3 linked regions of the Mus musculus genome follow. The protein of the gene in region 2 interacts with the protein of the main gene of each other region in a pairwise test. Links are inferred from orthologs where the notes say so. Each region holds a gene or a part of one and is shown on either strand. Other genes may lie near its edges.

Region 1 (3,721 bases), on a different chromosome or scaffold from region 2:
ACAAAAAACAAAAAGGAACTTCAATCAAGCTTCTCCTTCTGACCTGCTCAAATTATGAATCCTACCAACAGACCACCCTCTAGTCACACCAAAAAAAACCCCCAAAAACAAAAAAACACCTTCCCTCAAGCTCTATCCCAAATCCTCCCCATGGCAATCACTTCTAACACTGCTCCCTCAATACTCACCCTCAAATCTATTATCTCTGTAGAGTCTTATCTGAGGTTTGTTTCCTTCTAACTAAACTGCATTTTATTCATAAACACCTTATAAAAATTACCTAGCACAATTCTCTATATTACAAATTGTTCAAGGACAAAAAAAATCAAATCAAATCAAATCAGTGGTTCTCAGCTTTGTTCTTCCCTGTATTGTTTAACCTTTCAAAACATATCAAGCTCTCCAGAATATCTGCCAACTGGAGACATGCTTTCCCGGGGTTCTTCTCCAGGTTGGTCATCAAGGCAAAATTCAGCTAATTTGTGCATCAGTGTACAAATTAGTCAACCTACCTACCTCTTCTATTTCTGTCTTGTGCACGAAAAAAGCACTACTGTCCCAATTTCAAAAGTTCTCTTATTAAAAGGATATGCATGAGAGGTCTCCAATAAATGTCTGGTCACTCTCTCAAACCGTATCAAAAAAAGGAAAACTCCCACATCTATGCTTCCATAAAACCCAAATTTTCTGGGCTGGAGAAATAGTTCTGTGGTTAACAGCACTTGCTATTCTTGCAGAGGACCCCAGAACCCAGTTGAGTTCCCAGCACCCACATGGTAGCTAACAACTCCAGTTACAGGAGATAACCCCTGACCCCTTCTTCCAGTCTCTGGACAATGCATCCCCATAGGTGGTATACATACATACAGGCAGAACACAATTCTTTGTTGTGTGTAAGAGCTGCAAGACGGAATAAATATTCCTTTGTTTCAGAATTAAACTGATAGTTTACACAAAAATCTGGTGATTCAGAACTGCATGGGTAAATAAACCCCAAAGTGTTAACAATAGCCATCAATATATGGTATTAAAGTCTGCTATTACTATCCTAGTTGACATCTCTTGAATGTAAAAAAATTCAGGCCAAAGAGCTGCCTCCCCTAAGCTAAACAGGGACTGGAACTTAAGATCACATAGATGTTAACAGAACAAAATGGCATCTTTACAAAACAGAGTTTTCTGCACTTCACTACCAACTGATTGCTTCTGACCCCTAACATCTGTATCTATCAGCCATGATTTTGCTCAGATAATCTCTTTTGTTTTAGTAAAACAGGTAGGTTTTACACAACAGGGAAAAATGTTCTAGGTTCCATTGATTCGATGTGATAAAGAAATGAAGGCTAGAAGGGAAAGCCCCTTTTTCCCTTCTCTTATGAAACCCTGCATAAAAGACACCTAAAAAGATCCAGGGCAAGCCTATCAGCTACCAGCTGCCTCATATAAAGGTGGCATGTGAAGAGCAAACCCAGCAGCTACTTCATCATCAGTCTATAACTACCTATCAATGTGAACAGGAGTCACAGTTTGCAGCATTAATATCTGACACTCTATGGCATGCTATTTAAATTTTAGAAACTTGCTTTATTGAATAAGAGATCTGGGCAATGAATGACTCAAGATTTAAAAGTGCCCCCTCTAATAAGGGTGAATCATAGCAGTTAACATCCCGGTTGGGACTGGATAGTGCAAAACCTGGAAAGCCTTCCTTGCCCATCCACACCAGAAATGCTTTCATTTCCATACACCGGACTAAAGTGAGGCAACAAATAGAAAACAAACAAACAAACACTATTAAATAGTGAAATTTGACCAGGGCATGGTATTCTTCAAATTATCTGTATCCTTTTCATCCAGTGAACTCATCCACCCACCCACCCCCACACCTCTTTAGCAAGGAAAGGCTCAACATATTCTTACATGAAAAATAAAACATGTCTAGATTTTTCACTCCTAAATCTTGGGGGGCTGGGGAAATTCTAGCATCTCTATGGTAAAAGTCCCCATGCCTTCTACGACATGAAAGAACTTACAGATCTCAGGACCACTCTCCTGGCACAAGGTTAAATAGGTCTTTTTCAGTCTTGTGCAAGCCTACGCGGCTACTCCCCCCAAGTTTTTGTACCCCAGAGCTTGGGAAAAAAAGAGTTACCCACCCCCGAGAAAGCTCTGAAACAGGTAAGAAGGAAGCCTGGGGCTCAAATCACAAACTCTCTATCCCACAGGTTTCTCCCCATCGGGAACACCACACAAAAGGGGTGTCGCTCCCGCCGCCCTACTCCCTCACTAATGCCGGCGCCAACTCACCAGGACCGTGGTGCAGATGGACCTCAGCTCCGACTCCACTTTCTCCCGATAGTCCTTGATCAGCTGCAACTTCTTGTCAGAGGTGTCGGTCTTCTGCTCAATGCTCGAGATGACCCTCCAGGCGGACCTGCGGCCCCCTACCACGTTTTTGTAGGCCACCGACAGCAGGTTGCGCTCCTCGTTGGACAGCTCGGCGCCCTGCTCCGTCACGGCTTTCATGCAGGTGGCCATGTCGTCGTAGCGCTCGGCCTGCTCGGCCAGCTTGGCCTTCTGGATCAGCTCGGTCTTCTCCATGGCGAGCGAGGGCGAGCGCCGAGCCGGATCCGGAGTCCTCCTGAGAGCCGCGAGGGGCGGGGCGGGGCGGCGCCGGCGAGGACAAAAAGGAGCGAGGAGAGAGCGCGTCAGACAATGCAGCCGGACGCCCGCTTTGTCTCAGCGCACGAGGCGGCGCGTCCTCCGGCCTCTCACGGGGCCGCCGCCTTCCGCCCGCGCCCTCCGGCCCGCCCGCCGCGCCTCCCCAAGGCCGGAGCGCGGGCCCCACCCGGCCCAAGATGGAAGCGGCCGTTGGTGCCGCACCTTCCCGTCCCAGCCCGAACCTCAGGCGCGCGGTAGCCTAGCAGATATGAGGACCGTGCTCCGCCAACCCGGCCTCGGTACCTCGCGGCGGCTGTTGCAGCCGCAGTCCCAGAGCTGTGTCCGCACTCACCTTCTAGTCTCCGCAGCCGCGACGCGAGTCCCACCACTTTGATCTGCTTTGGGCTTTAGCCGAGGACCCTCCCGTCTCAGCCTAGCACGGAGCCGACGAGCTCGCCACCGACCAATAGAACGCTGCACCTCCCCAAGGAGTCCCGCCTCTAGCTTCTCCTCTGTCCAATGAGGGGCGAGCGCGCGGAAGGGGGCCCAGGGGGCGGGGCGGGAAGCGAAGCGGAGGCTCCGAGGGTGGGTCGGCTCGGGTAGGTTCGGTTGGCCCGCAGGCTGCGGCTTCGGCCACGGGGTTTCCTCCAATTAGATCCAGGGTGAATGGACGTCACTGTTGCCATGGCGATGCTTTTCCAACTCCCCTCATCCTCCCCGCCAGCCCGGCACTCCTGGGTGCGGCACGGGACCGGAGGTGCTTTCGACCTCCGAGGCTGCGACCGCGTGTCCTGTAGCAGCAACCACTGCAGATGGGGCGTTGCAGCTCTCGAGCTGCTGCGGCTGCAGCTGGACTTGGCAGGGGTGAGATAATTAGCCCTTTTGATGCACAAGCGCCTTCCTTTCTTCTACCTTCCTGTTCTTGACAAAGGTTTGTATCCCCAAGACATTAAAATGCAACCCTTACAATTTTCCTGTTTCGGCTACAAATTAGAAATATCCTGATCCCCATTAAAAAAGGATTCGTTCCCAGAGAAAGTGGCTTAATTCAAGTTTTCAC
Region 2 (3,747 bases):
ATGTCCACAGTAGAGGAGGAAACCGCAAGAGAAGGAAACAGTAGCCAAGCTCGTGAAGGCCCATGTGTGCTTATACTATTGTGAGTTAAGGGTCTCTATTTGTCTACTGGAGGTCACCCTCATGGATTCAATGGCAAGAACTACAAATGAAGAGACTATGCTTGTGCAATTCAAGTGCATGGTATGAGAAGCTGCAATCAGAGTAAAAGCAGTTTAGGAAAGAAGCGACTCTGCTGTGGGAATGGAGATGCAAGCCGATGCACTATCTTTGGCTATTCTCGAGTCTTTCTGTTCATAGTAAGGTCCTGGACTTGACATTGGGCAGTGTTCTCTTCTGACCCCTTCCCTTTCTGATTTCTCTTTCTCTTTGTCTCCTTCTTGGCCAAGGAACCCATGCCTCAGATCACTGACAGTCAAAGGAGCTTCCTAGGGTGGCCCTGAGATACAGTGTCTCCGCATAACCTTAGGCAACCTGAGAGCTGGCTTATCCCTGGGTCTTGGATGCTGAGATCTAGGCTTACAGCCTCACTGTTTTTGGTCCTATTTCTTTTCTGTGTCCAAGCCTCTTGCTTAGTACCAGAAGGGTCACCTGAAGTCACAAGTCAAGAGTACATGTTGTACCTAGATGAGTTTCTCTGATAAGAAAAGTAAGACTTGGAGTCAGTGTATAATACATGGAGGGAGTAGAAGCGATCAGAAAGAGGGAAGGAGGGAGAAAGGAGATACTGTGTGGAGAATGGGCAGGGCTAAGAGAACTCTGTTAATGGCCCGAGGAACTGGAGTAGTTATGAGAAAGGGACTGAGGAAAAGAATGAATCCAGGAAGGCTAGATTAGACCAGAGTGAAGAAAAAGTGAGGCCACTGAACAGCATTGGGAGGGAAGGGGTTTGGAGACCAGGAGAGGGGGGTTGGAAGGCAAGCACCAGTACGTTAGAGCTGACTGCCTGGCACTGAAGTACAAACAGGGTGTCTGCTGCCCACAGATTTCCATGCTAAAGCAGCCACCAAGGCCCACAGCCTTGCCTTCCTGCCCTGCCTCTGCTCCACTGCACAGCCCACTCCCTGCTAAGTCTTGCTCGTTCTCACATCTGCCTTCCAAGCCTCTAGGTCCCACGCTGATGACTCCAGTTCTCCCTGTTAGAATCACCGGATGGGGATCGAGTTCTTACAGTTCTGAAGCCCACGTTGTACCCCAAGATCAATGGAAAAGAGAATGCTGAGGTGTGGAGAGCATGCAGGAGCGTTTATTTTTAAAGGTCCCCAGGGGATTTATATGCACTTCTGAATTTGGGAGCTGCTGATGTCTACGACTCTAAAGCACTAGCTGTGATCTTCCCTTCCCTGTGAAATCTCCCCTGGCTCCTGATGTCCCTGACATGTGACTTAAAAAGAGCAGCTTGCTAGCCTGTGGGGTAGCCACTTTACTGAGTGACTGAGAACCTGACAGTCATGACTTTGGAGGGGAAAGAAAGGGTGGCTGTCAGCTCAGGGTACTTCTGTAGGTTGCTACCTATGGTCAAAAGCGGCTCCTAGAAGTCCGTACTCACCTGGTAAATGCTGCAGTTTACAGGAAGGGGATGAAGAACAGTTTATATTTTTCAGATCATCTAACAGGCTATGGAGCCTATACCATATAAGGGTCTCCATTTTGTCATGACTTTTTGTTTTTTTTTAAATTTTGGACCCTTGCCCTAGCTCTGGATTCAAGTCATGACTCTACCCCCTTCCTAGCTGCTTAGTCTTGGGCAACTTAGTATCTCCCAGCTAAATATTTTCCTGAGTCCAGCTGGCACAGAGTGAGGAGAGGGATGGATACATGAACAGTGGCTGGCAAAGTTTCTTGAGGGCCATCACTTGTTTGCAAGGTGAGAGCTCTTGGGGTCAAAGGGTACATGTAGCATGCATTCACATCGGTAAAGGAACTTGGCTGTTTAACTGCTACAAAATTACCATTGTTTTTGTTTGTTTGTTTGTTTGTTTTTTTGTTTCCCATGTAGAGTATACTCTAGGAAGCACTGGCCTGTTCTGGGGTACCCACAGCTGGCACATGTTCTCCAGTTATTTTGAGCCAACATAGCCAAACGACGGATGGCCAGCACTCATGCAGTACTTACGAGGTGACGATGCTTCGAAGGCGACCCTTTCTGAATGTGATGGTAACATTGCGGCAGCAGTGGCTCTCGTAGTAGTAGCACTTCAGATTGGTGCTGGCCGTGCAGCAGCACTTACAGTTGGGGTCATTGGCCCAGGAGCAGCAGCACCAGTGGCAATTGGGGTTCTCTGCACAGGTGCAGTGGCAGAACTGGCAGTTCCGCTCATCCTTGTAGGGGCAGGGGAAGCAGGTGCAGTTCCGCTCGGAGGTGAAGATGAACTTGCAGCACAGGCAGGAGAACAGCCGGGGGCAGCATCTCTGCCAGGTACAGCAGGGAGAACAGACACACATAGCCGTCTCCATGGCTCCTAGTTCTGGTACAAGGCCTCTAGAGTTTTGACAATGTTCTCTACCAGATTATTGTGGCCACTTCTCTCCCAAAGGGACCCTTGCCCACTCTCGTGAGGCTGGCAGTTTGGGAATTGTGGCAGGAAGTTGGCCAGTTTATGAGGCCTTCACAGGTGGTGGTCCTCCTCTGAGCTGGCGTTACCTATTTCAGCCTGTGGACATTGCTTATGTCATAATCCCTGACTCCCACCATGTCTTCACATGCTCAGTAGTAGGTAAGAGGAGGGCACCCAGGGGTGGTAGCTGGGATACATACTGGGTGTTTTTCAAGAGACTGATGTCACAGGAGTGGTGGCACCACGGAGCTCTTGGAGGCTTTAGCGGCCATCTGTTGTGTTTCAAGTGCTCACATGGATTTTAGATGCTGTTTTTCCTTGGTTGGTACTATTACTGCTATTTGGGTAACTTGAATTCAGGTTTTTTTTTTTTTTTGGTTTTTGTTTTGTCTTTATTGACTGAAAGACCGGGGTGTGACTAATTAGACATACAGACTGACACCATGTTCCTCTTCCGTCAGCAGAACTCTGACCAGCAAAGCACAATGTTTACAAATAATGGCGCCATCACAGTGAAAGGGTCATCACTATTCAGAAAAGGGGCTGAAGGGACAGAGACACAGGCTCACTCATGTCCCTTCAGAGTTCATGATCACGAGGCTTTATGCTTAAGTCGTCCACAGGTTTAGGACTCAGACTTTGTTTTCTTCTCCTCTGTACCCTTGCCCTAGACCACCCCACCCCTCCCCACCCCACCCCACCCCACCCTACCCTACCCCACCCCACCCTACCCCACCCCACCCTACCCTATCCCATCTCACCCCACCCTACCCTACCCCACCCCACCCTACCCTACCCTACCCTACCCTACCACCCCACCCCACCCCATCTCACCCCACCCTACCCTACCCTACCCTACCCTACCACCCCACCCCACCCCATCTCACCCCACCCTACCCTACCCCACCCCACCCTACCCTACCCTACCCTACCACCCCACCCCACCCCATCTCACCCCACCCTACCCTACCCCACCCCACCCCACCCTACCCTACCCTACCCTACCACCCCACCCCACCCCATCTCACCCCACCCTACCCTACCCCACCCCACCCTACCCTACCCTACCCTACCACCCCACCCCACCCCATCTCACCCTACCCTAGCCCCACCCCACCCCACCACATTCATTTATCAAGAGGTGCAGAATCATTAGCTACTCGGCCAGTGTGCACCCAGGAACTCTAGAAA
Region 3 (3,747 bases), on a different chromosome or scaffold from region 2:
TGGAATAGTAAACAAAGAGCAGAAAGGCAGCAAAGACCAGGAAGAGTAACAGCTGGCCCCAGAGTGGGACCTGTCGATCCTGGCCCAGAGCAGCAGCAGGGGCCTGCTTCTCTGGCCGAATGGCACGTCGGGTAAGCCATGAAGAGGGAGAAGATGAAGAGGAGGACACAGAAGAGGTGGAGGATGTAGGATAATATGATAAGCCCAGAGAGCTCCTGGAGACATTGGAAATGGGGCGGTAGTGTGCGATGCTCTGGTAGGCACTGTCTTGGCCATAGATGAGGCGCTCCCTGTGGCAAAAGAAGGCAACAGGTAGGCAGGAGAGTCTGAGACTCGAATTTGTCCCTGTCCCTACATATGTTCACTACTCACCTATCCTTGCCTTCCTCTTCTAAAGAAGAGAAAATGTCATCACGCACCTGCAGAATAATTAGGATTAGAAATGGGGAAGAATGGTTTTCCTTAAATGTCTCTGGCTAGCCTGCTCTAATCATATCATAGGGACCAGAAAATTGCCCCCCCCTCCCCCATTCTGAGTATGTGGAGCCTCTTTATCTGTGGGGCCTTGCTGCTCAGTTACTAACCCTGTTGACTTTGTTCCAGCATCCTTTTATTCCCCTGGATTCTCAGGAGGCTTAAATCTATATCGTAGATTAATTACTAGAGTGCAGGAGCTGTTACATATTCTCTGATCAAAAAAGTTTGTGGGCTGAAGAGGTGGTTCACTGGTTAAGAGCACATATTATTCTTCCTAGGTACCTGAGGTCAATTTCCAGCACACACATCAGGCAGTTTACAACTACCTGTAGCTCTAGCTCTAGTGGGAATATGACAATTCTCACCTCTGTAGGTGCCAGCACTCATGCATACTACCCACAGACATGTATGTGAGAATTCTGGAATTTTGGCTTTTTTAAGAAACACAGAAATATTGTAAGAATATGTTTTTGTTTTAATCTTAGGTGTGGAATATGGGGCTGCTTCACAGCAGCTAACTATGAGTTGCCTCATGCTTTTAGCAAAGGTGTGTTTCTGTGAGTTTCAGATAGTTTCTACAATTGTGTGATATTTGGAATTCTGGGAATTTTTCATTACTGGGGGTGAAGTGGGGGGGGGGAAATACCCACAAACTAACAAAAATTGGCCACACATATGTATAATTAAAGTAATTAAATCTTTTAAAAAAGCCAAAACCCCAAAACATTTGTTATGTGCTGCTGGAGATGAAACCATAGGTAAATACTCTTCTGCTGAGCATCCCCAAATCCAATAGTTTTGAAGGTTCCAACATAGAATTTTTAACCCGACAGCTGTATGCTGACCCTAACCAGATTTGAAAGCCTAAGATCCACTCTCTGCACCTATCCAAACCTAGAATTCCCTAAGGCTGCACCCCAGGTATACCTACCAGCCAACTCACCTGGTGATGGAAGGTATCAGCATCTACAAGTGAGGTCCCCGGCTGGCGGAAGCTCTTGGACATGCCCACAGACTCAGGCTCCCCGTATGTCTTGGTGGTCAAATAACTCTCCTCATAGTAGTCATCATTATAGTCTTGGGGAGGAAAACAGTGGTAGAGGAAAAAGTGGTGCCCCTTAACTGGCCTCCTCTTCTCCCTCCCCAGCCTGTGTGTGCTGTGTCAGTTTCTCCCCTCTGAAGCCACTGAGAACTGGTACAAGGAGGTGAGGGAGGTCTGGGGTTTCCCTGTGCCCAAATCCCGGAAGCATGGGATAAAAACATCAGTGCCCACCCTATACCTGCCTTACCCTTGCTCTGGTAAAGTAAGGCGTCTTCTTTTTTGGGCAGATCATACATGTCTGAGTCCACGGCGGCTGAATCCAAGTCTGCATGTGAAGGAGGAGGGACAGGACCATTCGATCTCCAGCCTTCCCCCTACTCCCTCAATAGCTTCGGCCACACCCTCCCTCCCTAAGACGTGTGCCCCAAGCTGCTCTTTGGGGCTCTGCAGTTAAGGGCTCACCTGAGAACTGATAGGAGAATGAAGAAGATGACGAGTTGGGGGGTAAGAGTCTCCTTCTCTGGGTCTCGTACTCGAAGATTTTCTTTTCGTAGAGCTTGCGAGTGGAACCTGCCCAGACACAGGGTGCGAAGCGGTCAGAGGGCGTGAGCCGAGCACCCCAAGAGCACAAGGGAACACGGGGAGGGGACTTGAGGGGAGGGAGAGGTGGGGAGAACGCTCAGGGAGGAGCGCGGGAAAGCAGTGGACCAAGAGAGGTTCTGAGCGCCACCGGGTGCAGCATACCCACAATAGGCCCATGAGGGATGTTGTACTGGCGTAGCACTGCGGCCAGCTCAGTATCGGACAAAACCGCATAGTCGTCCATGGCAGACAAGGCCGGCACCTGGAAGCGGTGTTGAACGCCAGGGGCGGCCGGGGCCTACAGACAGGGCCCAAGAAACCAACCGCTCGGAGCCTAGAAGAAGAAGCGCCAGAGCCTCAAGAGCGGCTGTGGGCGCGTCACGCCGCCGTCACATTTGCGTCACAGCCGCGGCTACGCAGGTTGCGCGCGCTCCTCAGGGCAGGCCCAAACTAGCCAGAACGGCCGGTGCAGACCGGTCTAGCTGAGGGAACAGGCTGGGCTGGCAAACAGAAACGTAACGCTTGTGAGAGATTGGCTCGAACAGGGAGAAGGCGGAGCTTTCAGAACTCGTGCGGCAGCGGTTGAGACTTCCTTTGAGAGCTAGGCCGCCGAGGGGCGGAGCTGGCTGACCTCACTAGAGGATGCTTTAGAGCGCAACTTACTAGGGATGAGGCAAGTGATTTGACCAAAACCGGCTTGTGAGATTTCCCAACCTGTGAGATCTCACATACTTTTGTTACTGGCTTCATTCCTGATTTTATTCCCCCGGTGTTCCAGTGCCTAGGATTCTCAGCCACAGTGTGATCCACAGCAGTGTAAAGCAATCCTGAGAGCGAACCCTTCCAGAGCGCCTAACGCTGCTGAGAGCTCTTTGTATGCTGTCAGACAGGGCTCTCATCACCTAACATAGACACCCACAGAGCCCTGGCACTCCCTACCCATCTCCTTTGGTCTTCCCAGTCTCCATGACCCTGGCCTGCACACCTGCACAGGCCCATTCCCACCGTCGTCTTCTCTAATGCCTAGTTCCATTCGCGAGGAAATGGGGCCAGCACTGGGCCAAGTGGCCACCAGCACTACAGGATCAAGCAGCTTTCCAAAGGTCCAGGGTATGCCAATGCACACAATCAGAGGGCGCCTGCCTGCCTGCCTGCCTGCCTGCCCTGTGATGCATGTAGATCTGTACACCTTGTACCTGCCATACTCACTGTTCTACCTTGGGCCCTGAGGAATTCTGGGGGGAGAGGTCTTCTCTGGCTGAGTAGAATAGTCTCTAAGCTTGGTGTGACCTTAGAGACCTAGACAAGTGTACAAAGCCTAGAGCACTATTTCTCAACCTCCTTAATGCTGCAATCCTTTAATACAGTTCCTCATGTTGTGGTGACTCCCCACCCATAAAATTATTGTGTTGTACTTCATAAATGTAATTTCAATATTGCTATAAATTAAAATATAAATATTTGTTATGCAGGATATCTGATATGTGAGATCCAAAGGGATAGCGACCCCAGAGGTTCTGAACTGCTGGCCTAGAGGCAAACCATGGGAATTGATGGAGGCTTACTAAGGATCTGGATCAGAGAAAGGTTGCCTTGAAGAGTGACCATGACCATTATATTCTACACAAAGTCATGTGGATCTAGGT

What was found. The genes of interacting proteins can lie anywhere in the genome.
Region 1: the proteins of Trim42 (region 2) and Ywhaq interact in binary tests that used the Homo sapiens proteins (3 or more experiments, as listed by UniProt). The two-hybrid records come from large-scale screens. The link is inferred for Mus musculus from reciprocal best matches to the Homo sapiens genes TRIM42 and YWHAQ.
Region 3: the proteins of Trim42 (region 2) and Emd interact in binary tests that used the Homo sapiens proteins (3 or more experiments, as listed by UniProt). The two-hybrid records come from large-scale screens. The link is inferred for Mus musculus from reciprocal best matches to the Homo sapiens genes TRIM42 and EMD.

Annotation. Positions count from the first base shown.
Region 1 is NC_000078.6:21,414,491-21,418,211, forward strand, and holds the start of Ywhaq (14-3-3 protein theta), read right to left. Parts: upstream 2,947-3,721; 5' UTR 2,602-2,946; coding exon 2,308-2,601; intron 1-2,307. UniProt on the Homo sapiens protein: Adapter protein implicated in the regulation of a large spectrum of both general and specialized signaling pathways. Binds to a large number of partners, usually by recognition of a phosphoserine or phosphothreonine motif.
Region 2 is NC_000075.6:97,367,390-97,371,136, forward strand, and holds the start of Trim42 (tripartite motif-containing protein 42), read right to left. Parts: upstream 2,570-3,747; 5' UTR 2,456-2,569; coding exon 2,115-2,455; intron 1-2,114.
Region 3 is NC_000086.7:74,253,550-74,257,296, reverse strand, and holds the start of Emd (emerin), read right to left. Parts: upstream 2,611-3,747; 5' UTR 2,346-2,610; coding exon 2,264-2,345; intron 2,090-2,263; coding exon 1,982-2,089; intron 1,845-1,981; coding exon 1,767-1,844; intron 1,555-1,766; coding exon 1,421-1,554; intron 420-1,420; coding exon 373-419; intron 291-372; coding exon 1-290. UniProt on the Homo sapiens protein: Stabilizes and promotes the formation of a nuclear actin cortical network. Stimulates actin polymerization in vitro by binding and stabilizing the pointed end of growing filaments. Inhibits beta-catenin activity by preventing its accumulation in the nucleus.